2 linked regions of the Tamandua tetradactyla genome follow. The protein of the gene in region 1 purifies or fractionates together with the protein of each later gene. This does not show direct contact. Links are inferred from orthologs where the notes say so. Each region holds a gene or a part of one and is shown in the gene's direction. Other genes may lie near its edges.

Evidence for each region.
Region 2: the proteins of CORO1C (region 1) and ACTR2 fractionate together in Homo sapiens (co-fractionation; 3 studies listed by BioGRID and IntAct, with this or other methods). This does not show direct contact. The link is inferred for Tamandua tetradactyla from reciprocal best matches to the Homo sapiens genes CORO1C and ACTR2.

What each region holds. Positions count from the first base shown.
Region 1 is NC_135331.1:22,649,345-22,661,273, forward strand, and holds the start of CORO1C (coronin-1C), read left to right. Parts: upstream 1-5,987; 5' UTR 5,988-6,105; intron 6,106-6,380; exon of another isoform or gene 6,381-6,617; intron 6,618-6,698; exon of another isoform or gene 6,699-6,735; intron 6,736-11,929. UniProt on the Homo sapiens protein: Plays a role in directed cell migration by regulating the activation and subcellular location of RAC1. Increases the presence of activated RAC1 at the leading edge of migrating cells.
Region 2 is NC_135343.1:38,487,901-38,500,633, forward strand, and holds the start of ACTR2 (actin-related protein 2), read left to right. Parts: upstream 1-7,595; 5' UTR 7,596-7,732; coding exon 7,733-7,780; intron 7,781-12,733. UniProt on the Homo sapiens protein: ATP-binding component of the Arp2/3 complex, a multiprotein complex that mediates actin polymerization upon stimulation by nucleation-promoting factor (NPF).

The sequences.
Region 1 (11,929 bases):
TCTTATTAGAAACCATGGAGGCCAAAAGAAAGTAGCACCACAGTAAGTCTTAAAGATTTATTGTATAGCTACAATAATCAAGACTGCGGTACTGACAGGGAATAGAGATATATTGCTCAATGGAATGGAATCGACCCACACAAATCTGCTCAACTGATTTTTTTTTTTAAGTATACAATGCAGTGGCATTTATTACATTTACAGTGTTGTGCTATAACCTCCATCCAGTACCAAAACTTTTTCATCACCCCAAATCAAAACTCGTACCCTTTAAGTAATACCTCCTGATGCTGAGGCCCCTGGTAACCTCCAATCCACTTTCTCTCCCTAGGAGTTGGCTTAGTCTAGGTATTTTGTGTAAGTGGAATCATACAGTATTTGTCCTTGTCTGTCTGGCACATTTCATTCAACATGATGATGTCTTAGAGTTCATTCGTATTGTAGCAAGTATCAGAGCTTCATTCATTTTTTTGTGGCTGAATAATATCTCATTGTGTGGATGTACCACATTTTGGTTTCCCATTCATCTCTTATTTATTTACTTATTTCTTCATCACATAGTTGTATATTCATCATCATGATCATTTCTTAGAACATATGCATCAATTCAGAAAAAGAAAACACAAAAAAATTCATACGTGTCATACCCCATACCCCTCCTTTTCATTGATCACTAGCATTTCAATCTACTAAGTTTATTTTAACCTTTGTTCCCCCTATTATTTATTTATTTTTAATCCATATGTTTTACTCCTCTGTCCATAAGGTAGATAAAAGAAGCTTTAGACACAAGATCTTCACAATCACACAGTCACATTGTGAAAGCCATATCATTATACAATCATCTTCAAGAAATGTGGCTACTGGAACACAGCTTTACAGTTTCAGGCAGTTCTGTTCAGCCTCTCTGTTATACCTTAACTAAAAAGGTGATATCTATTTAATGAGTAAGAAAACCCCCCAGGATAACCTCTCGACTCTGTTTGCAATCTCTCAGCTATTGACACTTTATTTTGTCTCATTTCTCTCTTCCTCCTTTTGGTCAAGACGGTTTTCTCAACCCCTTGGTGCTGAATCCTAGCTCATTCTAGGATTTCTGTCCCATGCTGCCAGGAAGGTTCACATCCCAAGACCTAGAGAGGGGGATGCCCAACTGATTTTTTACAAAAGGACAAAATCAATTCAAGGGAGGAAAGGGAGCCTTTTCAACAAATGACACTAGAGCAATTGGATGTCCATAGACCAAAAAAATGAACCTCAACTAAGTTTCACACTATTTACAAAAATTAATTCAACATGGATTACAGACTTATCTGTGAAATGTAAAACTGTAAGTCTTTTTAAAAAAAAGCACAGGAGAAATCTTTGGGATCTAAGGCTGGGCCAAGTGTGCTTAGACCTGACACGAAAAATATGATCCATAAGAAGAAAAATTGATAAATTAAACCTCATCAAAATAAAAAAAAAATATTTTGCTCTGTGAAAGACCCTGTTAAGAGAATGAAAAGATAAGTTACAGAAACTATTTGCAAGCCACATATCCGATAAAGGATTAGTATCTATAATATGTAAAGAATTTTTAAAAGTCAACAGTGAAAAACAAAAGTTAATTTGGGAAATGGGTAAAGACACAAAAAGACATACAGATGGCAAAAAAGCACATGAAAATATGGTCGACATCATAACCATTAAGGAAATACAAACTAAAACCTCAACAAGTATTGCTATATATGTACCAGAGTGGTTAAAATAAAAAATAGTTATAATACCAAATGCTGGTAAGGTTGCAGAGAAACTGGTAAGGTTGCAGAGAAACTGGATCACTTATGGATTACTGGTGGGAATGTAAATGTTATAGACACTCTGGAAAACATTTTGTCAGTTTCTTTAAAACTAAATGTCGAATATCATAAGACCCAGCAACTGCACTTCCTAGTTTTTGTTTATGCTTTTTAACAGTAAATGAAGACTTATTCTCACACAAAAACTATTACAGAATTGCACATTGCAACTGATATAGTTGTGTAGCAGCCCAAAACTGTAAACAATTCAGAAATTCTTCAAAAAGTGAATATTTAAACAAACTGGAACATACCTACCATGGAATATTACTCAGCGATAAAAAGGAGCAAACTATACAAGCAACAAGCTGGATGAATCTCCAGAGAATGATGCCAAGTGAAAAAGTCCAAAAAGTTGTAACTGTGTGATTGTTGAGATGACAGAATTATAGGAATGGAGAAGAGATGAGTGGTTGCCAGGGTTTAAGGAGGGAGTTCTGTTTTGCTAAAGCTGTGGGAAAGCAATATAACAGAAATAGATTGGCTTTTACAATTGGGATTTTAGTAACTTACTATTTACAGTTCTTAGGCCTTGAAAATGTTCAACTCAAGGCATCAGCAGGTTGTTGCCTAGACTCTGAATACATGCTGCTGGCATCTGGGACACTCTGTCATGGGAAGGTACACGTGGCTGATGTCTGCTGGTTCTTCTCTCCTGGGTCATTGCTTTCAGCTTCTCACTTCAGGGGCTTCCTCTCTGCTTTCGGTGGGTCACATCTCAACTGAAATAACATAATCCAAAGGTCCCACCCATATACACCCACAAAGAATGGATTAAAAGAACATGAGCTTTTCTGGATACATACAGCTCTCAAACCATTACAGAGGGGTTAGGGTGGGAAGTCAGTATCGGTATAAAGTGGGAACATGAGAAATTCTTGTGGCGATGGAAACTGTCTGTATCTGACGGTATCTATGTTGGTATGGAGGTAGTGACCCTGCACTACAAGTATTGCTACATATGTACCAGAGTGGTTAAAATAAAAAATAGTTATAACACCAAATGCTGGTAAGTTTGCAGAGAAACTGGGTCACTCATGGATTACTGGTGGGAATATAAATGTTATAGACACTCTGCCAGATGTTATCATCTGGGGAAACTGGGTAAAGGGTATATGGGATCGCTGTGTGTTTTTCTTATAAATGCTTATCAGTCTACAATAATATCAAATAAAGTTTAATTTAAAAAAAGAAGATATCCTCTCTGTAGCAGTATCAATTATTCAGCACTTTTCCAGCCTCCTATTTTCCAAAAAGCTGCACACTTAAGTTTTAAGAATCAGGATTTATCAAAGTAGGGTGAATTTTAATATTCTCTGAGCTTTGTGCTCTTTTAGCACTTATTTAGGGGTTTTGCCTACACAGATTACTCTAGGGACTTCCAGTTTCTCATTTGTGAATTATTATTATTATTATTACTTTCAATGCTTCCACAGGGCTAATTCACTCAGCTTCCAGAATTCCTGTCAACCCAAGGCTAATGACCCCATTTGGTACTGAGAGAAATCAAAAAAATTATTTTCTGAGTCACCTCCAGATGCACGTCCCCCAATTCTTTCTTCTTTCACACAAGAGGGGGCACCTGTATTAGGGGAATTTTGGAATCACTGGTGTGTTTCAGGTCATTAGATTCCTCTCCACCAGAGTCTGTCTCATGCTGCCTCAGAAATTGCCAGTTTTTGAGGGTAGGAAAGAACTCTCAAATCCAGCATTTTATCTGGCCCTATGTCTCACCCTTCAGAGCCAGCTTGGACAGAGCCACAGTTTCCTTCAGGCCCACGAAGGCACTGTGGGTAGATTCTAGAACAGTGTGACTATGGATTTTTCTCTCAGTGTAGGGTTAGATAATTTTCGTTGGCTTCTTGTAGTAGCAGTTCTCAGCTGACCAGACTTGACTGGGTGGCTTCTGGCTACAGAGATGCTGCTTGTGCACAAATCATCTGTCCCAACCAGGGATAAGACCAGGATCTGAAACAGGCAGCCGGAAGGCAAAGGCCTCGAGATTTTTCTTTCTTAAATGGCTGTTCTGTGATCGGATTATCTTGGAGAAACTGGTGTCCTGGAATATTTGATGTCAAATTTGAAAAACCAGGGAGAAGGAAATCAACATGTTTTAAGTACCTGCTATGTGTTGGGTGAAATAATCATTTGGATGACCCCCTACTCTCTTGATGAAGAGAGTAGGTTCAGAGAGAAGTGCTGTGCTCAAGGTCACACAAGTGGTAAGCGGTATAGCCTGAAATCAAACCCAAATCTTCCAGAATCTAAAGTCCACGCTTTCTCTATTCTATCATATTGACATAGAGGCAGCGTAGTGTGGTGGTTGAGTGGAAAGAACACATGCTCTGCAATTAGACAGATGTGTGTTCCAGTATTAGCTGCAACTGTTTCAAGCTGTGTGACCTTGGTAAGTCATGTAACCTCTCTGAGTCTCAGTTTCATCACCTAAAAAATGAGAATTATGAATTGTTTTTATGGCCGAAGGATTGTTGAGGGATTTCAGTTGATTCACATGCTCACCACTCAGCATAGCGTCTGACATATAAAAATAGTGGATGATTTGTCTTCCAAAGAGTAAGCCAGTTTGGTTACCAGTTCAATCTCAAAGAACTTTATCAACCCTTATTTTCCCCCACTGCCATCAATGTCCTTTGTTTAATTAAGGATAAGAATCATAATAGTAAATTGTTTTTTGTGCATCACCATATGCCAGGCAGTGTGCTAGGGTCTTCTCCCCCTTTATCTCCATTTAAATGAAGTGAAAGGCAAAAACTTGCAGCAGAAAGCGTGCTGGGTGCCTGCTTTTTGAAGCTGCCATTTGAAGGTAAAATGAAATTCACCTTCCATAATGTTGCGTCACACCAGCAGCTGTAGCAACAGATACCATTTGTTGAGGGTTTGTTACAAGTAAGGGACTATACTACATTCATTACATATGCGATCTTATAGAATTCCTTTCCACAATACTGAGGGGGGGGGGCTGCTATTACCCCTATTTTACAGATGAAGAAACTGAGGCTTAGAGTGGAAAAATAATTTGCTGTTATAGTGGTAGCTATTTGGTTCAGGTGAACCTTGATTTCCTGAATACATTTCCGAGGCTGATGTTTAAAATGAAAATAACCCTGCTGAATCGCAAAGATGTCATGCCTTGGGAAGTAAACAGCCTTCAGCAGGCTTACTTGGTCAGTTCAGTTCCTCCTGCCCCACTTCCCCAAATCTTGGCAGTTCAGAACGCACTCGACAGCTATTCACAGGGCAATTTCCTCACGCTAAAGATTAGGAAAGTCAGGCCTAGAGAGGGGAAGAGAACTGCCCCCAGATCAGTCTGACAGCAAAAGCCGGGGTTCAACCCCCGACTGGGAGTTCCAGTTTCTTAACCAAATGGGTGAAAGATTTTGGCCAGAGAAAACAAGGGAGGAACCCTGGAGCCTCCCCTTTCTCATCTGCGAAATGGGGTAATGACAGACCCACTGTGTAGCTGTAGGGGTTACGTGGGTATGGTCCAGACCAAGGGCTGCCTTTCGGTCCTGGGAATGTGAGAATTGGAGGCGGACGGGTGCTAGAGCTTCCGGGGTCCCGGAGGGCTCGGGAGCAGGATGAAGAGGGTAGGGGCGGAGCTTCGGAAGTGAAGAATTCAGGGCGGGGCTTGGAGTTGTAAGCATATAGATGGGCACGCGGCCGGCAGTTGGCGAGGAGCCAGGTTTAGGGAGCCCGGAAGCTGCCTTCTGGGCTTTGCTGGACAATGGGCGGATCTCTGCGGAGCCGAGGGGTGTGGCTCTGTAGTGCCTAATGGATCAATGGGCAGAGCTCTAAGAATCCTGCGCTTGGTTGCAAAGAGCAAAGGGTGTGACTTGTGGGGGGGGGCTTGTGGGCGTGGCCCTGCCACCCTAAAATGACTGGTGGGCAATGCCGGGGCTTCGGCACCCACCCACCTCAGTGCCCCCGTGCATTCCCGGGCGCGACCAGAGAGGGCGCTAGACAGGAGTTGGAGGGGAATTGGGGCGTGGAACGTGGGCTGGGAAGCGGGCGTCCCCTCCCGGAAGTGGGCGTGGCCCTCTCCGGCTAGGCGACCCCGGTTGGGTGCGGTGCGGCGCGGGGGCGGGGCCCGCGTGCGGCGTCGGCTACCCGCGCCCCTCCCCCGCGCGGCGCTCAGTGCCAGGCGGGAGGCGGCAGCGGTTGGAGGTGTCGCGGGGTTTGCAGCGGGGACTTCGGCGGCAGTGGCGGCGGCGGCGGCGGCGGCGCCTCTGACACCTCGGCCCTGGTGAGCGGCGCGCGCCCGGTGGGGCGGCTCGGGAGGAGCCGGGCGGGGACCCGTCCTCTAGGCATGTGCTGGCGCCGGCTGTCAGGAGCCGGCGGGGCGTGGGGCAGGGCCGGGTGGAGGGGACCGGACGGGGTGGGCGGCGGGTGTGCAGGGGTCAGGCCGGGGGCTGCTGCCAGAGGGGTCTGGGGGAGCAGCCGCCTGGCCTGGGAAGCGTGGGCTGGGGTTCCTGTGGGGAGGGGGCCGTCCAGGAGAGGCTTTTAGCGGGCAGAACTTACCTCTCTTGGTGCGGGCTGGGGGCCGGGGGCTGACCTAGGGTGTTTTTCAGGGGTCCGGGACTGTCGTGGTGGGCTGAAGGGCTGGGGGCCGAGTGGGCTGGGGAAGGCTTTTACGAATCTGGGACCCGCCTGCTCGGCTGAGGTGTTTGCTGGGCGGGGAGGGGTTGCTCGGGTCTGGAGCGCCGAGCTGGAGGCGCCAGGCCCGGGGGCGGGGCGTGAGGCGCCCTAGGGAGCGAGTGGGTGGGGGGTGGATAGGGGCCGGGCTCACGTGGGGCGGGGGCGAGCTGGGCCCGCATGGGTGGGGCGAGGGCGGTCGCCCGCGCTCTGGATGCGAGGCCAGGTCTGGGCCCTGAAGGTCTGGGTTGGGGTCCCGGGAAGGGCGGGGCAGGGCTAGAGCTGGAGTAATGTGGGTGGGGGCGGCTTGGGGAGAAGCCGGGCCCCCCCTGAGGGAGCGGAGGTCTGGAGCCGCGGGTGGGGGTTGGGAGGGGCAGAACGAAGCGGGAACGCTGCGGGGTCGGTGGCCTGAGGCGTCCGCAGGAGCGAACTGGATGAGCCTGAGATGTGCTGCCCTAATAGCGGGGCAGCCGGCGGGGGACGCAGGGAACAGAGCGAGGTGCATGCAGGTGGGGCTCCGGCCGCGCCAGCATGACTGAGGATGAGGTCAGATGTTGTGGGGAGAAATGCAGGAGCCGAGCTGTCCCGCGCGTCCCCACTGGCGCACGCACATCAGCTCCTTCTCTTCTGATCTGAACGTGTCGGGGGAAGTGGCAGGCGGCGGGCAGCCAGCGGAGAAGAAAGGGGCTTCCTCCCGGAGGGAGGCGCTGGCCCTGCCATCCTTTTTTGGGAGTATTCAAAGGGTTTTAAGCGCTGGAAAAGGAAATGTGCGCTTTACGGCGCGGTGGTTTGGAATCATATCCTATATTTGGCCTTAATGTAGGCTCTGCTGGTTTTGTGGTGTCTGGAGTGCTTGCTCTACATGTGGCAAACGTGGGATTCGGAGTGAGAACCAAATTGCAAGTTGTTCATCTTCCCTAGGTTACAAGATACAGAGGCCTTTCTTTCCTATAAGGCATTTTAAAAGAATTGCATTTCGTGTGTGTCTGTGTGTGTGTTTAATCTGGTACTGGGTGGCGAAAATGCTTACTTTTGGAAATAGTTATCACAAAACATTAGGCCCTATTACGGCAGCCTTCCTGCCTGGGATTACATTCTAAAACAGTACTTGTAGGGCTCTTAGTCACTCTATATAATAATGCATCTCATTGTGCTTATCTGGCAGAACTCTCTCCTGACACCAGGGCCTGCTAGAATAGATGGAAACATGATTAAGTATAAGCAGTTGCTTTGTACATCTGTTCAATTGTGCAGGCTAATGGCTATCTATTTAATATTCACTCTCTGTGTTCACTGTAAGACTGAAGAAATGGGGAAAATCTATTTTGGGCTAGATTCTGTATATCTCAGAAGGTTAATTTAAGGAGAATTTTAAAAAATTTTTCTGATTTGGAGATAGGTTTCAGAGTTATAATGTTTGAATGTGAAGTCTGATAGTAAATGCTGGATCTGAGTGATTGCATATGAAAATAGAAAGAAAAAAAGTGAAAGAAAACTGAGAATTGTGTTATACATTAGGCCCTGAAATGCAACATTCCGTGATGGGAGATGGTCATGTGTGCTGAAGGTTGACCAAAGATTGGTCTAAAGGTCAGGCCACCTTTATGACAAATTCTTAATGTGCTTTGTTCATCTTTGTTTCCTGTTACTTGTGGAAGGTACATTAAAGCCTGATGAATTTTAATAGGCACTTCCCTGTGAAATATTGCTGCACCCAGTATTGGATTTTTCATGATCATTTGTTACTTTGCAGATTGCACTAATTGGCATTTATGTCTGTTACTTTGTATCTACTTTAGGATTAGATTCAGGGTTGGCAAGTAGCATTTTTTAAACGCTGTGGATCTTATTGATTTAAATTTTAAGCTTAATGCATCTGCCACTTCTGGGATCCACTCCAACCATAGGAGAGTTAGTCACTCTCATGCCTATGAAATGGAGTGTTCAAAAGGATAAATTATCAGTTTTATAGCTGGGAGTGTGGAAGATTCAATTCTTAAGGCTCGCAAAAGATTTATTTCTTAATATTTCAATTTGTCACAAATTGATGCTTTAGAGACATATCGATAATTGGGCCATTTTACCTTTGACCTCTTTTTTTGTATGTGGAACAATAGTTGATTTGGGTACAACTTTCATATTCAGGGTACCAAGCCGTGTGATAAAAACTCTTAATGTTGTTTTCCATTTGATGAATTCCCTGTGTTACCGTCCCTCTAAATCATGAAAACTCTTTTCTGACATATGTAGACCTTTTTTAAGCTAAGATGCCTTTTCTGTATTAAAACATGAAAATCCTCATGAATATTTCAGTATGACCTAGAATGTGAAGTAGAATGCTAAGTAATAGAATCTCTCTGGGTTTGCAGTGCCCTAGTTCAGATCCTTTAACGTGAGTGAGCAAAATTCTGTACTTCTTTCTGAGACCTCACTTTATTTCAGGGATGCATCATTTTTTAACATCTTTATTGAGATAGTATACCGTACAATTCACCTATCCAAAGTGTACAATTCAGTGGTTCTTAGTATATTCACAGAGTTGTGCAACTGTCATCACAATCAATTTTTCCTTTCTCCAGAAGGTAAATCAATAACGATTAGCAGTCACCCCTCCTCCCCAATTCCTTCCAACCCTACCAGCCCCTGGCAAGTATTAATCTACTTTCTGTCTTTATGAATTTGCCCATTCTGGACGTATCAAATAAATGGAATCATATAACGTGGTCTTTTGTGACTGATTTCTTTCACTTAGCATAATATTTTCAATGTTCGTCTATGTTGTAGCATGTGTCGGAACTTTATTCCTTTTTATGGGCAAATAATATTCCAGCGAGTAAATATACTTTGTCCACTCCTCAGTTGGTGGACATTTGGGTTGTTTCACCTTATGGCCGTTATGAATATTGCTGCTGTGAACAAGTTTTTGTGTGAGCTTATGTTTTCATTTTTATTGTGTATATACCTAGGAGTAGAATTGCTGGGTCTTATGATAACTCTATGTTTATCTGCTTGAGAAACTGCCAGACTTTTCCAAAGTGGCTGTACCATTTCACATCCCCGCTGACAATGTATGAGGGTTACAGTTTCTCTGCATTCTCCGACACTTATCTTTTTTATTGTAGCCATCCTGTGAGTGTGGCATTGTATCTCACCATTGTTTTGATTTGTGTTTCCCTGATGGAAATGATGCTGAGCATCTTTTCTGTACTTATTGTCCATTGGTGTATCATTTGGGTTATTTGTCCTTTTATTATTGAGCTATCAGAATTCTTTATATATTCTAGATAGAAGTTCCTTGTCAAATATAAGATTTGCAAATTTTTTCTCCCATTCTATGCCTTGTCTTTTCATTTTCTTTATGGTATCCTTTGAAGCACAAATGCTTTTAATTTTAATGATGTCCAATTTATACATAATGAGTCTTACTAGTTAGAAATTGTTTAGGCCTTAAATCACATCTTCATCGATATTTTGGTTATATAAATTAAAGATCAAATGTGGAAGTACTGAGGAAAGATTTTAATTAGTTCTTTTTAATTTGTGCTGTTGGTTATTGGGAAACATGTCATTCCTGGCTCAAATCCTTAAGGAATAAAGTTCAAACTTAATGTGGTTGTGGATCAAGACAATCTCTGATTTCTGCATGCTTTATTTCTTACTACTTCCCTTCCTATGTCATATAACTCCAACCCCTTTCCAAAATGTCCTTTGGGATTGCAGGCCATGTGACATTTCCTCCATAAAATCTTTGCAGCGCACCAGGGCAGTCATTGCCCCTGCCCTCGTACAGAGTATCGTCTTCATTGCTGTCCACTTCAAGGAACTGGACCTGGACCTGAACTTACAGTCTGAAAGCCACCTCCACATAGAAGGCAGAATCTGAGACAGAAATTCACGCGAAAGGCTGAGCAGCTTCTCTTGCTGTCAGCTCCAAGCCCAGTGCCTTACTAGATATTTACTGAATGGATGATTGTTTGTTAAAGTTAACTGAAAATATCCTGATGTCAGTGGTTTTCTCTCATTACTGTTTGCATCTTTGTTTCTCTGTTAAAAAATAACCTGAGTACAGGAGTAATTCCCTTCTGCCTTTCTGGCATCCCAAGTCTAGCTCTAACCAAAAAAATTGCTCAGATGAAAGACCGTATTTGAAACATTTTCCCTGGAACAGCACATCCTTGCCCAGGATCTTTTCTCCCAGTGAACGGTGCTGACTGGCGCACAGCCTTCTCGTGGGGCACCTGGCCAGGAGCACACTTAGTGTGGTATGTGTTGGCCACACAGAATGGCACAGGCAGCCCTGATGGCAGTCAGTACTGGAACTACACCTGTGTACTCTCGACGATGGATGTAAATCTGATTTTACGGGCCCATGCTTCCCTTTAATCCTTGTTTTCATGCTCTCTTGCTTCTTTTGGAACGTCTGAGTATTACTCAGTTATACTTTGTGTTCTTATGTTCATTTTTAATGATTTAATTAAATATGTCCCTTAACATTTTCCTGAGAATTAGAAGAAACCAGTGGACTGCTTGGGGGATATTTTTTCTTCTTTTGCCTTCAGTAAAGTGATTGGATTGTGGCAAGGTAGTAAAGAAGAGGAAGGAAGATAAATTTCATATTTGTGGCTTTATCAGATTAGGCTCAGTGAGTAATCAGTACTGTATCTTATGTGGTATCTTTCTTTAGGGAAGTTTTGTACTTAGAGAAACTGAGGCAATGAAGTGCAGGCTCTTTGAGCCGGACTGAGCTGGATTTCACTCTTTCACTCCACTTCTTATTCACTGCGTCTCTGCCAAAGTATCTCACTTCCCTGAGCCTCTCCTGTAGGCTCCTAGTGGCTCCCTTGCAGGCTGTGGTCGAGGTGAGATAGGAAGAGTCTTCCAGACAGGGTGTACGCCACATAAACCCTGTTCCTTCCTCTTCACTCTCAAATGTCTGTTCATGAACGGAACTGTGTGGCATCAGTACATTTTATTTCTGATGTTAAGCTATTAAGGTATGCATTCCCCTGCCACCTCAGCATTTCAGATTTTGAATCACTTGAAGAGGGGGGAAAAAGTCTAGTTTTAGGATGGGAAGGTGGTGTTAAAAATGAGGCAGCTTTTTGCATCTATTTGAATTGGAAATGTACGCTCAGACATGCTTCCCTCATGCAGACCTTATGCTTCTGTTCTGTCTGTCCGTCTGCCTGTCTGTCTCTTTTAAGGAACAGGGTTGAGTTGCTGGCAAAGGGTTGATGCTTTCAGGGGTTGTAAGGAGATTGTGCTGCAGTGCTTGGGTGCTCATCAGGTTCAAAGGCGAATGGAAGCTCTGGGATCAGCTGTCGCATTGTGTATGGGGAAAGAACCGCAGCAGCTTCACGGGATGTCGTTTGGATCTTAGGTTAATAACAGAAGTGGTTCCTCCTCTTTGCCTCAAAGTAAGGAGAAATTAAATC
Region 2 (12,733 bases), on another chromosome or scaffold:
AACATGGATGGACCTAGAGAACATTAAGCTGAGTGAGTCTAGCCAAAATCTAAAGGACAAATACTGTATGGTCCCACTGATGTGAACCGACATTCGAGAATCAGCTTGGAATATATCATTGGTAACAGAGACCAGCAGGAGTTAGAAACAGGGTAAGATAATGGGTAATCGGAGCTGAAGGGATACAGACTGTGGAACAGGACTAGATACAAAAACTCAAAAATGGACAGCACAATAATACCTAAGTGTAATGTAACTATGTTGGAACACTGAATGAAGCTGCACCTGAAATAAAAAAAATAAAAAAAAAAAAATTTCATGCGAAAACATGTCTATTTCAGAATAATATATATTTTGAAAATTCAGGACCTTAAACAAATAACTATAATACCATAACTGATAATGACTTGGCAGCATGCAAATACTTCAGGTTGGAGTGGCACATTCATTCTTGATAAATTTATATAGAATAAATTCTCATAAGACATTTGGTTTCAAAATTGCATATACATGTGATGATATTATGAGCCATTGATTGTATACTTTGGATGGATTGTATGAAGTGTGAATATATTTCAGTAAAATTGTAGTAAAAATTGTATGTACTTAATGAATAATTACAAATAAAATATGAACATATGGTCAATTTAAACACTGATGTGCCAGTTTGAAAGGATGTGTGTAACCTAGAAAAGCTATGTTTTAATCCTAATCTCATTTTGTAAAGGCAGCTGTTTCTTCTAATCTATTCAGTACTATATGTTGGAAACTTTAATTAGATTATCTCCATGGAGATGTGACTCACTTAAGGCTAGGTGTTAAACTGGATTAGGTGGAGACGTGTCTCCACCCATTCTAAGTGGGTCTTGTTTACTTTAGTGGAATCCTATAAAAGAGGAAACATTTTGGAGAAAGCAGGAGATTCAGAGAGAGCAGAGAAAGATGACAGAATGCCACAGAACCATGAAGCAGAGAGTCCACCAGCCAGTGACCTTTGAGGATAAAGAAAGAAAACGCCTCCCAGGGAGCTGGAGAGGAAGCTACCAGATGATGCTGTGTTCTGCCATATGCCCTTCCAGCCAAGAGAGAAACCTTGACCGTGTTCACCAGGTACCTTTCCCCACTTGAGAGAGAAACCCTGAACTTCATCGGTCTTCTTGAATCAAGGTATCTTTCCCTGGATGCTTTAGCATGGGCATTTCTACAGACTTGCTTTAATTGGGACATTTCCACGGCCTAAAAACTGTTAACTTGCAATTTATTAAATTCCCCTTTTTAAAAGCCATTCCATTTCTGGTATATTGCATTCCGGCAGCTAGCAAACTAAAGCAACTGATATTAATTTATCTGAGTTAATTCAAGTCAGTGATTAGAGAGCTGTATTTTTTAAAGTGGAGGTAAAAAAATCTTTAGGAGACATACATGTACACATGTACATTTGAAGACCAAGAGTTAAAAACCCATTGCTGATTAATACTATTAAGCAAAGGATGTATAACCAGAAATGGAACAGCTTTTAAAAGGGGGAATTTATTAAGTTGCAAGTTTACAGTTTTAAGGCCATGGAAATGTCCAAATTAAGGTACCAACAAGAGGTTACCTTCACTCAAGAAAGGCCAATAAAGTTCAGAGTTTCTCTCTCATCTGGGAGGGCACACAGCAATGTCTGCTAGCTTTCTGTCCTCATTTCATAAAGCTTCCCCAGGGGTGTTTTCCTTCTGTTTCAAAGGTCTCTGGCTGCTTGGGCTCTATTGCTTCTGGTGGATCTAAGGCTTTTTTCAAAATGGTTCCATTTTAAAGAACTCCAGTAAGCAACCCCACTTTGAATGGGTGGAGACACATCTGCATGGAAATAATCTAATCAAAGGTTACCATCCACAACTGAGTGAGTTATATCTCCATGGAAATAATCAAAAAGGTCCCACTGTGATTGTGAAAACCTTGTGTCTGATGTTCTTATTATCTACCTTATTGACAGATGAGTAAAACATATGGATTAAAAATAAATAAATAATGGGAACAAATGTTAAAATAAATTTAGTAGATTGAAATGCTAGTGATCAATGAAAGGGAGGGGTAAGGGGTACGGCATGTACGAATTTTTTTTGTTTTCTTTTTATTTCTTTTTCTGAGTTGATGCAAATGTTCTAAGAAATGATCATGATGATGAATACACAAGTATGTGATGATATTGTGAGTTACTAATTATATACGTAGCATGGAATGATTATACGGTAAGAATGTTTGTGTTTTTATGTTGGTATGTTTAATAAATAAACTTTTTTAAAAAAGGAAAAAAAACACGGCTTTTCTAGGGTATATAAATCTTTTCAAACCAGCACACTTAGGATCAGCTAAAAAGGGCATCATGAAGACCCTGCACATAAGAGTTTGCACGTTAATATCTAAATCTAATCACTGAAGCTGAAACAAGACGCACTTGAGACAACACAAGACAAGACATCTGTCCATGCCTTCCTCATGAAGATCCAATGCCATTGCTTATCTGACAAGAATGCACCATGTGGACATTACTTAGTTTTTGACCCCTTCCCCCTTCCCTTTACTTATAAAAACCCTAACTTACATCCCCACTTTGAACAGGTTTGGGGACGATTCCTCCAGTTCCTTGAAAAGTGCATTTGCAATAAATCACCTTCACACTGAGAAAAAAAAAAGGTCCCACTGAGCAATATTGAATGAGGATTAAAGGACATGGCTCTTCTGGGGGACAAAATAGCTTCAAATCGGTACAACATCCATCACACATGTTTCACAAACAGCATGTTTCTGAAATTGCATATTTCATTATGAATAAACACTACAGTATTAATAACTAGAGAAATAATTGGAATGAGTTCCAAAATGCCATAACTTTCATGAGGCATCCTGGAACATATCTTAGGGCATTTATTTTAATTTTGGGGCTTTAAGAACATCTTCTTTGCTTTAATTGGTTCTATGTTTCCATTTTCATCTTCTTTGTAGTTGGTTTTGGAAAACTTTTCCAGTTGTTCCCACCAAGTTCTCCTATCTTTTAATCATTTCTTCATCAGATACACTGAATGCCACTGTTTCATTTCAATGTCTTCTGCTCTTTTTTTAGTGTTCATCTGAAGCACTAATTTCTCACTCTCAGATTTGACCCTCTGCATGACATTCCTCCACAGAGAAGGCCTTCACCTAGCGGAAAACTCTGCTCTATTGTAAAACTCTCTCTTTAAGTTCTGGCAAATCCAAATACCAGTGTTTTTCAGTGATGATTTTCTTCTCTTTCTTTTTCAGTGGTTTCTTGTTTTTAAGTCCAATTGCCTTTGCATGAATATGATATGCAATAGATTCTTGGACAACTTGGTCTTTTGCTCAGCGACCACGCTACCTCCCACCTGGTGTTGCATTCTGGTGATTATGTTTTTAAAATGCTTTCACTGTTAGAAACATGTCCCAAAGTATTTAAAGGAGAAAGGGTATGATATCTGAGATTCACTTTTAAATACTCCAGCAAACAACAAAACAACCAAAAACTTTGTGTAGAGGAAGGCAGATGAAACAAGGATGGCAGAAAGCTGACGACGACTGAAGTGAAGTGATGGGTTCACACAGTTCACTGTACTGTAGTTTTATTTTTATGAGTTTGAAAATGTCCACAATAAAAGTTTAAAAAACAGTAATCAATTTGACTACATTAAAAATAATGATCATTTAAGGCTCTCAAATTATGAAATATCTAGACAAAAATTGGAGTATATTTTCCTCCAATCCTGAGATGTACTTATGTACACAGAAGACCTAAAAGTAGGCAAGAGACTCAAAGTGTTCAGGAATTGAATAGTAAAATATTGAATTTACTTTCATGATACTTATTGCCTTTCCCAAGCACAGATCCCAGATTGCAGATACCTTTTTTGTTTTTGCATGATTGTGATACTTTTTTGAGGTTGGATCTAAATCAGGACAATATGTACTTAGAGTATCATAAGACCTTCTCTTGATTTGATTTTAAAACAGTGTTCACTTTGTATCATCAAAAGCAAAGAATATCCGTGCAATACACCCAAGCCATCTATGGTACTAACAAATGTTATAGTAACATTATCTAAATTGCCAGCAAAAACATATAATTAACCATGAGAAAACAATCAGACAAATCTAAAACATGGAACATTTCTATAAGCCAAATGGCCTGAATTCTTCAAAAAGTCAATGTCATGAAAAAAAAAAAATTCGGGACTTGGCTGGATTGAGACTATTTAGACACAACAACTACAGCAATGATGAACCCTGGTTAGATCTGTTAGGAGAAAAAGAGCTATAAACATTTTAGAGACAAGTGGGTAAATATGCGTAGGAGTATGGTCTGGGTATTAAATGATAAAGAATTATTGCTAATTTTCTTTGATGTGAATATTATATGGTGGTGTTTTTTTTTTTTTATGAAGGGCATGTTGAAGAATTTCAGAGTGAAGTGTCATGTAAATGCCTAAAACATTTTCAAATGGATTAATTTGCTTTTAACTGACTTAGTTTAACACTGTTAATGTAAACATATATCTTAGCAACATAAATAAGAATTACCTGTAGGAGTTGACAAGATAGAGACTTTTTTTTTCTGACACGATTACAAACTTTCTGGCTAACTGCTTTTTAAAGCCAAACAATTAAATAAATAGAATTAAATCATATGTATGTCCCATTCTTGAGTTCTTCAGGTACAGAATAAGGCATTAAATATACGGTAATACCATCAGTTTCTAAAATGAGTGAACATCTCTAAAGTGAACTAAAGTTCTACTGAGAACATTTCCAAGGTACCTTTGTGCTCATTAATTTAGAAACCACAGACACAAATAACTGCTTTTTTTCATTGAATCCAACTATATCATTTCCATCCATACTCTGAATTCTGGAGAACAAAGTTATCATTATTTTACTTCAATTACTAGTAGACACTATTTTCCTTCTCAATTTCCTCAAGTATGATACATGTCTACAAAAATAGGAGTCTGTTTTAACAACCATTGTATTACTCTATAATCATAAAAACATACTGACCAATTTCCAGTCAAGCGAGTAAGATAAATCAGGTCCAGATACTAGAAAACCTCCAGGAAAATCATCACCAAGTTGGGGATGCCAAGTGGGGCTTCTGGTTTTCATGACAGATTTGGAGTTTTGAAAAAATCCCCTGGATAATCAGAATCCAGGCTTTGGAGTTCAGGCACACTTGTACTTACTCCTGGTTCGGTGACATTATAGCCAAGGGAATTTGGGCAGGTAACTTAATTTTTTTAAAAGCAACTTTGTTGAAGTTATGTTTACATACCATAAAATTTACCTGTTATAAGTATACAGTTTGATGATTTTTAGTAAGTTTATAGCTGAACAACCATCATGAGAACATTTCCATCACCCCAAATAGTTTGTTTGCATTCAAACCCCACTCCCCCAGTCCCCGCCGCTTGTCTGCTGTTTCTATAAATTTGATTTTTTATAGAAATTTAATATAAATGGAACCATATGGTCCTTTTGTGTCTGGCAGTCTTTTAGGTTCATTCATGCCCAGTGTTTATTAGTAGTTTCTTCCTTTTTATCACTGAATAATATTCTTTTGTGTGGAGACCAGGCACTCATCAAGATGGCCCGGTGAGATGCTTCTGAGCTTCGTCCCCCAAGGAAGCTTTGAACAATCGGTGAAAACTGACAGACACATTTCTCAGAAAAATAAAAGGCTACTTAAAAGTGGCATATTCTCATGGGGTCCTGGCTGGCCCCTTCCGCACTCCTCACAGGCTCAGCAGGGATTCAACCGATACGCCCTGGAAGCAGAGTAATCCTTCTGCACACCCAAGGGCATGTATCATTTTTATAATCAGAAGAAAAACAAAAGTGATTTCTTAGAAAGTAAAAATTAGTAATCCATGTAATTCCACAAAGAGAAGTAAAAGAACTCAGAAACGCTGGAGTTTAATTTATGGAGACCAATCAGATGCACTTTCAGGAAAACTTCACTGTGCAAAGCACCGGGGCCATAAAAGTAACAGGTGGACTCATTCTTAAGGAAAATTAGAACTAATGCAGTGTTTTTCTCAATCTGTTCAACCTGCTGAGGTACCTCAAAGTCTACTGAAGCAGGTGAAGGGAAGGCCCAGTCCCTTGTGGCCTTCCACTGCATCTACTTCTGAAACTTCCAACTACACTTATGGTGACATTTGCCCGTTTTATAGATTGAGGTTCCGTATAAGATTAAATTAAAGATTTTACACTTTTAAAGGTTTGAAAACTGGTGATATAAAAGAACAATGTGGAAACTGGGACACAGCCTGGTATTATAAAAAAAAATACTGGACTGGGAGTTCATGATTCAAGTTTTATTCCAGTTGTACATGTTGGACACCCATGTGAAAGGGACAATTCTACTTTTCACTTCTCTAAAATGATGGCATTTTCTACATAAACTTTTATGTCACTTATCCATCAAGTATTTGTTAAGTGTACATATATACATTAAGTGTATTCATATATACATGGTAAAGTAATAACAACACAAAAAAAGGCTGTAAAAAACATCTTGAGGTTATAAGCAAAGTCTTTATAGATGTGACAATTTGGGTCTAGGGAATGAATAAAAATCTGCCAGCTGATTAAAAAGAAAAAAGATGGGGCATTAGAATTACATGTTTAAAAGTATGAACTTAAAAATAAATGTCCCGGCGGGCGGCGGTGGCGCAGTGGCAGGGTTCTCGCCTGCCATGCTGGAGACCCGGTTCGATTCCCGGTGCCTGCCCATGCAAAAAAAAAAAAAGAAAAATCCACTAGTGAATGAACACTTATGTACAGAATTTTATCCTCACAACAAACAATCCATGGAGGTAGATTTGTTTGATACCCGAAGCCTAGGTGGCGGGTTTAAATGTATACAAATACCGAATGGGTGTAAAACAGTAAAGTGCTGCTAGAAGAAGAAAAAGGTGAGAGACAAGGCTGGAAATGCAAGCACCGCACTTTACTGTGGAGCAAGCAGAGCAAAGAAGGAAGGTATCACTGGAATTGCAGGTCAGTGTAAAACCTAGACGTCTTATATGTGACATATATAGTGACGAATCTATGTGTATGTGTGTGCATTCATCCCAGCTCTGTCCACAGAGCAGGATGAGGAGCAAAGACACGTTCAATGAGGGTCAGCAAGGAACACCAGGTGGCCTCCCGCCCTCCCTGCGGCCCACTCCGCCACATCCCGCTGACACTTCGCGCCAGACCCGCGGACCTTCACCGCCTCCGCCTTCCACAGCCCGCAGCGGCAGGCACCGTCAGCTCCTGCGATGCCCCGGGGTGAAAGCCAAGGCGGCCCCCCACGTCAGCCGCCGTGGACGCTCGGCGAAGGGTGGGGAATAAGACGCAGAGAGGAAGAACCGAGGAGGCGCGGCGACCAGCGGGTAACCGTGACAGCAGCGCCAGAGCAGGGCGCCGCAGAGCCCCGTGGGTGGTGGGGGCGGGGACTCGGCGCTCACCCCTTTCTTATTGGAGCTCTTCGCTGCCAGTCGCCGCCTCCTACTTCGCGTCCCCAGCCCCTCCGAGCCGGCCTTCAGTTAAATGGCGGGCGGGGCCGGGCGGCGACTTCCGGTTGGGAGAAGAAAGTCGAGCAGAAGGAGGGGCCGTGGAGAGGGAGGAGGAGGAAGAGGAAGGGGCCCGGCGGCGGCTGTAGGTTGTACGGCGGCTCTCCCCCGGGCGGACGATGGACAGCCAGGGCAGGAAGGTGGTGGTGTGCGACAACGGCACCGGGGTAAGCGCCCGGTGGAGGCCTCAGCCGGCACAGGCCCCGGCCGGCGTGTGCGGGGGGCGCGCGGGCCCTGGGCTCCCGCGGCCGCGCCTCTGGGCCCTCCTCAGCCGGTCCCGGCCAAGGGGTGCGGGGCGGTGCCTCCCGCCACGGCGGGCGCCGGGGCCGAGCGGGTGGGGCCCTGGTTTCCCCAGAACCGGCCAGCCCCGCAGCCTTCCGGGTCAGGGCGGCGGGCCAGGCCGGCGCCGGACCGGGCTCCCACCTGCTGCCGGGATAGGAGCCGGCTCGCTGCTTGGGCTGAGAGGATTTGTCCAGGGAACTCGGAGGAACCGGGAGGCGTGAAAGGCTGGGTTTGTGGGTTCCGAGATGGGTCCATTCCCCGGTGTGTGAAAAAGGAGAAGGACCAAGAGGCCTTCCTCTTCCTGTATAGTTGAAGACAGTGAACAGGAGGCAGGAAACGGCTGAAAGGGAAGTGCTTGTGCTGTCATGCAGTGGGCCTCAGGCCCCTCGCCGTGTTAAAGGTGCCTTTTTTTTTTTAAGCGAGGGGGAGGCCTGATGGCAGCGCGTCATTTACTTTTTATTTTGCATGCTGGTAATTTGGCCCGGCTGCAGCCCCTCAGGGACTAGCACATTCCATATTAGAGCCTCTAGAAGGCCCAAGTGTTAATTCTGCAGATTGATGGCCTTGGGGGAATCAGTTTTGGTCTTCTCCCCCCACCCCCCACCCCCCTTTTCTTAGGTGCAGAGTACTGAATGTTCGTCTTTGGAGTACTTTAGTGTTCGTCTAAAGCCAGTTCGTCTCTTACTGGCATTCTAAGATGCCCGTAAAATGTAAAAATCTGATAAAAGCACTGATTTCGACATTATTTGAACATTTCCTTTGAAATACTCCCCTTTATTTTAAAATATGTATTTTGGGCAGTAAAGTCAGCAGATTAGAAGATGGAAATGTTATTTGTTTTGCATGACTTGTAGAGTGATCATTTATCCCTGAATTACAGTAATTTTTGAATTGTTATATATTGTGATTTTTCTCCCCTCTCTCCCTAAATGTGACATACACTTTATTTTTACTTGAACTTTCACATACATTTTGGAAACTGGATTGAGGGAGAAAAAGAGCAGGTACTAACTGCCACAATACTACCCTTGATTTAATTGATCAACTTTTACCACCAGTTATACTGGCTTCATCTACACTACGTTAAAAATGAATCGATTGTGATGATTAAAAAAATATTTGAGCCTTCTAGCTTCATATATTCTGGAGAAGTTAGAAGGAAAAATCTGAGAGGATCATATGGTAGCTCATGACACACTCTGGGATCTGTCTTGTAACTGCTTGTTGAAGAGTGCTTTGAAAACTATTGCTTTTTTATTTCTTTGCTTTGTATATATCTTATACTATACTATAAAAAAGTTTTTAAAAAGTGAATGGGAATACAAAGAGTGTTATCATATAGTGGGACATCCATAAAAAATAGAATACTTAAAACAAGGAGGCAGATCCATTGCTATAGAAATATGTCCAAAATGTATTGTTAAATTAAAAAAAAAGTTTTAAGATGATCCCATCTGTGTGGGTGTCTTTATTAAAGATCATGTATCCAGAAACTCCTAGCTGCTTATGAAAGTTTTGGAGGGATACACAAGAAATGTTCATAGTGGTTACCCTGAGACTGGGGATAAGGAGGGAGGGAACAATGCTGAAGAAGACTTAAAGAAGATATTCTGGCTTAATTTTTTTTTGATTAATGGAAATGGTTGGTACCCTAAAGTATTTTCATTTGCCCTTAACACTTTAGGGTTTAAAATTATAAGGTATTTGAGAAGTTGATTTTTTTTTTAAGCCCTCTGCAGGCACAACGTGCCAGATGCTGGTCCTTCTGTATTTCCTCATCAGCCCCCAACTAGGTCAGTGTGTTATGGTGGGCTGGTGGAGGGAAAGTCTTGTCATTCCTCTCATTCCAGAAATGCTTCTGCCTTATGACTGACTGTTCAAAGCTGCCATCTAAAATAGAGCCACTGAAAGTGGCCGGAGAGAGGAAAATCTGAAGATTGTCACTGCTCTCGGTTTAGATGACTTTCAAGAGTCAGACCCAGGAGTTTGGCCCTGGCATTGTGTGTCTCGTTCCATCAGCAGTGACTTCCATCCCCAACAATCATAAAGACTTTCCAGGTGTCTCCTGTGTTTTTGGCAGGGTTTCACTACTGTCTAGTGATACAAAGTAGCTTATAGTGCTGGAATAGCTATGTTTTCATTTATAATTCACATTTTAGTTGATTATGGCCTGTTTCATCAAGCTTATGTTAATTTATATGTTCTACTTGACAGTGTTTGCCATAGAAACAAACCCAAAACAAATTTGGCTTTACTCTGTTAGCCTGTCATTTGACAGCGTGAAAAGTGTTCCATCTTGAACATGTTTTGAATGAAATAAACTCTTTTGAGGTGGCCCTCTAAGATTAGAACAATTATTATGCAGCTAAATTAACAGATACATCAGTACCATCAGATAAAATTACTAAGGGAAAAATACAAATTAAACAAGCCCAAATGGGACTTTATAAATCCAAGTTTATTTTTTGAGAGGAAAAGCAGATGTAGATCAAATTCTTCATTTGTGCTTGAAAGAACATTATACTGTGCATGTTCTTACCATTTGATGACTCAGTGGGAAGTCAGGGAGCCAGTTTAAACCACAGTGCTGTGAAGAGGAAACTATATATGGTAAAATCTATTTCTTTAACACAGCCTTATTGCACATGAGATAACTAAGTCACCAAGTGTTAAAATTATTGGAGTAGAGGAAAAAATTTCATTAATTAAATTGTACAAAATGAGTAGTTTAGAAAGTAATATTTTTGTGTTTTTTCACCTGAAATCTAAATGGCTTAGATTTTTTTTTAATACTGTGGTTTTTTTGTTTGTTTTTAATAAGAAAGGAGATGTTAGATTGGCTATCAAAAAGTTTGTATTCTGAGAAATAGATTGTTGTAATTATATTCTTGTGATAGCTCTTAATGCTTTCATATTTGAAAGAAAAATATGTACCAAGGAATGGTGCAGTTATTGTCATTTTGACTGACTACCTTAATATATACACTGGATTACTAGGGTAGCATGTGCTTCCATTGAGCTTCTACTTAAGCAGAATGGATAATTTTAGTAAGTGATTGATATCTTCAATTTGAATTAAAATCCAAATATTCACTGTTTATAAAGTACAGTAATCATAGGCTTTAAAATATGTTGGCAATTGTTTCTACAGTTCCAAGGGTCTCAATTTTTGTCTTCTGATTTAGGCTCTTGGCATATGTTTTGTTGCTTAAAGTATATTCAGATGCATTCTAAATGTTTGAACATTTATAATCAGGAAACACTGAATGATCAGTTATTTACTGCTCTTCCCTGTTGCATATTTCTGAGTGTTTGAGGCTCAGAATGAGAGAGGAGGCATGTCAACTTTAGCAGCCTTAAGATTATACCCAGTCCTGGGCTCCTCCCATCTTCAACTTCTCTTATGATTTCTGGAGTTAATAGAGTTATTTGCAATTAAAATGCTGAAAATGACCCTTACAAGCTTATCGATTCTCTTTTCAGTTGTTCACTCTATCATTTTCTTTGAGAACATTTATATCAATTTAAAGAAACATTTGTAGCCTGGTAAATGTACACTTTTGAACCACCCATTCTCCGTATCTCTTTGTTACTTTGAGGAAAATTAAGAGTTGAACATTCAGAAAGTATTTAAGGTCTATATATGAGATATATGTGTAAATTATAATTAATGCTGTTATTAGGCTGGTGATCATGACATTTCAGCTAAACAAAAAAGTAGTATATGAAAAGCTGATCTCTTTACCGATTGTTATTTAGAGGAAGGGAATTAAAGTACCCAATGACCCTAGTACTGTTTTTGTATGTTTACTTTAATTCTCTAATATACTATCACATGAAATAATCCATAATAAAATAAACCAATTTTCCTATTAAAAAAAAAAAAGTAGTGTATGCTTGGAATAATGCAGAGAACAGATTCTCTAAAGACCCTCCCAGGGTCATTTCAGTTCATGTCAGGTGAGCTGTGTTTTGATTTAAAGACAATAGAGTTAGTGATTATGGAGAGAAAAACAGAAGAGTTTTGAAATGTTTCTTTTAGTTTGAACATACTAAAAAATACTGGGTTTTATTCTTTCCCCTGTGGTAATTTTTCCTCGAAAGTCCTTCCCAGTTCATATGGATAAATTTTTTTTTATTAATTAAAAAATTTTTTTTTAAATACCAAAAAACACCAAACGCAAACATTCATAACTTTTGATCATTCCATTCTACATATAATCAGTAATTCACAGTATCATCACATAGCTGCATATTCATCATCATGATCATTTCTTGGAACGTTTGCATCTATTCAGAAAAAGAAATAAAAAGAAAACAGAAAAAAAATCATACGTACCATATCCCCCTACCTCTCCCCTTTACCGATCACCATCATTTCACTCTAAATTTATTATAACATTTGTTCCCCCTATTATTCATCTTTATTCCATATGTTTTACTTGTCTGTTGATAAGATAGATAAAAGGAGCATCAGACACAAGGTTTTCACAATCACACAGCCACGTTGTGCATATTGATAAATTTTGGAGGTGACATTATAGGAAAAAAAAATGAACTAGCACCGCTGAATTATGTTTAACACTCCCTTGAGGTAGAAAAGTTTATTTGTGTTCTTTACTATCAGCCTCTGTACAAATAGGAGGTAGGTATGAACAAGCAGGTTATCATCTATTGTATATGCCATCATATCACATTAAATTCTGTATTGCAAGGTTATCCAATAAGAATTGTACTACACTTAGAAATAGGTGGCTATCCCTGAAAAATGCCCTGAACTTGGTGGCTTAGTGGTAAGCTTAGGAAGACTAAGTTTTGTAGGCTTGGAAGAAAACATA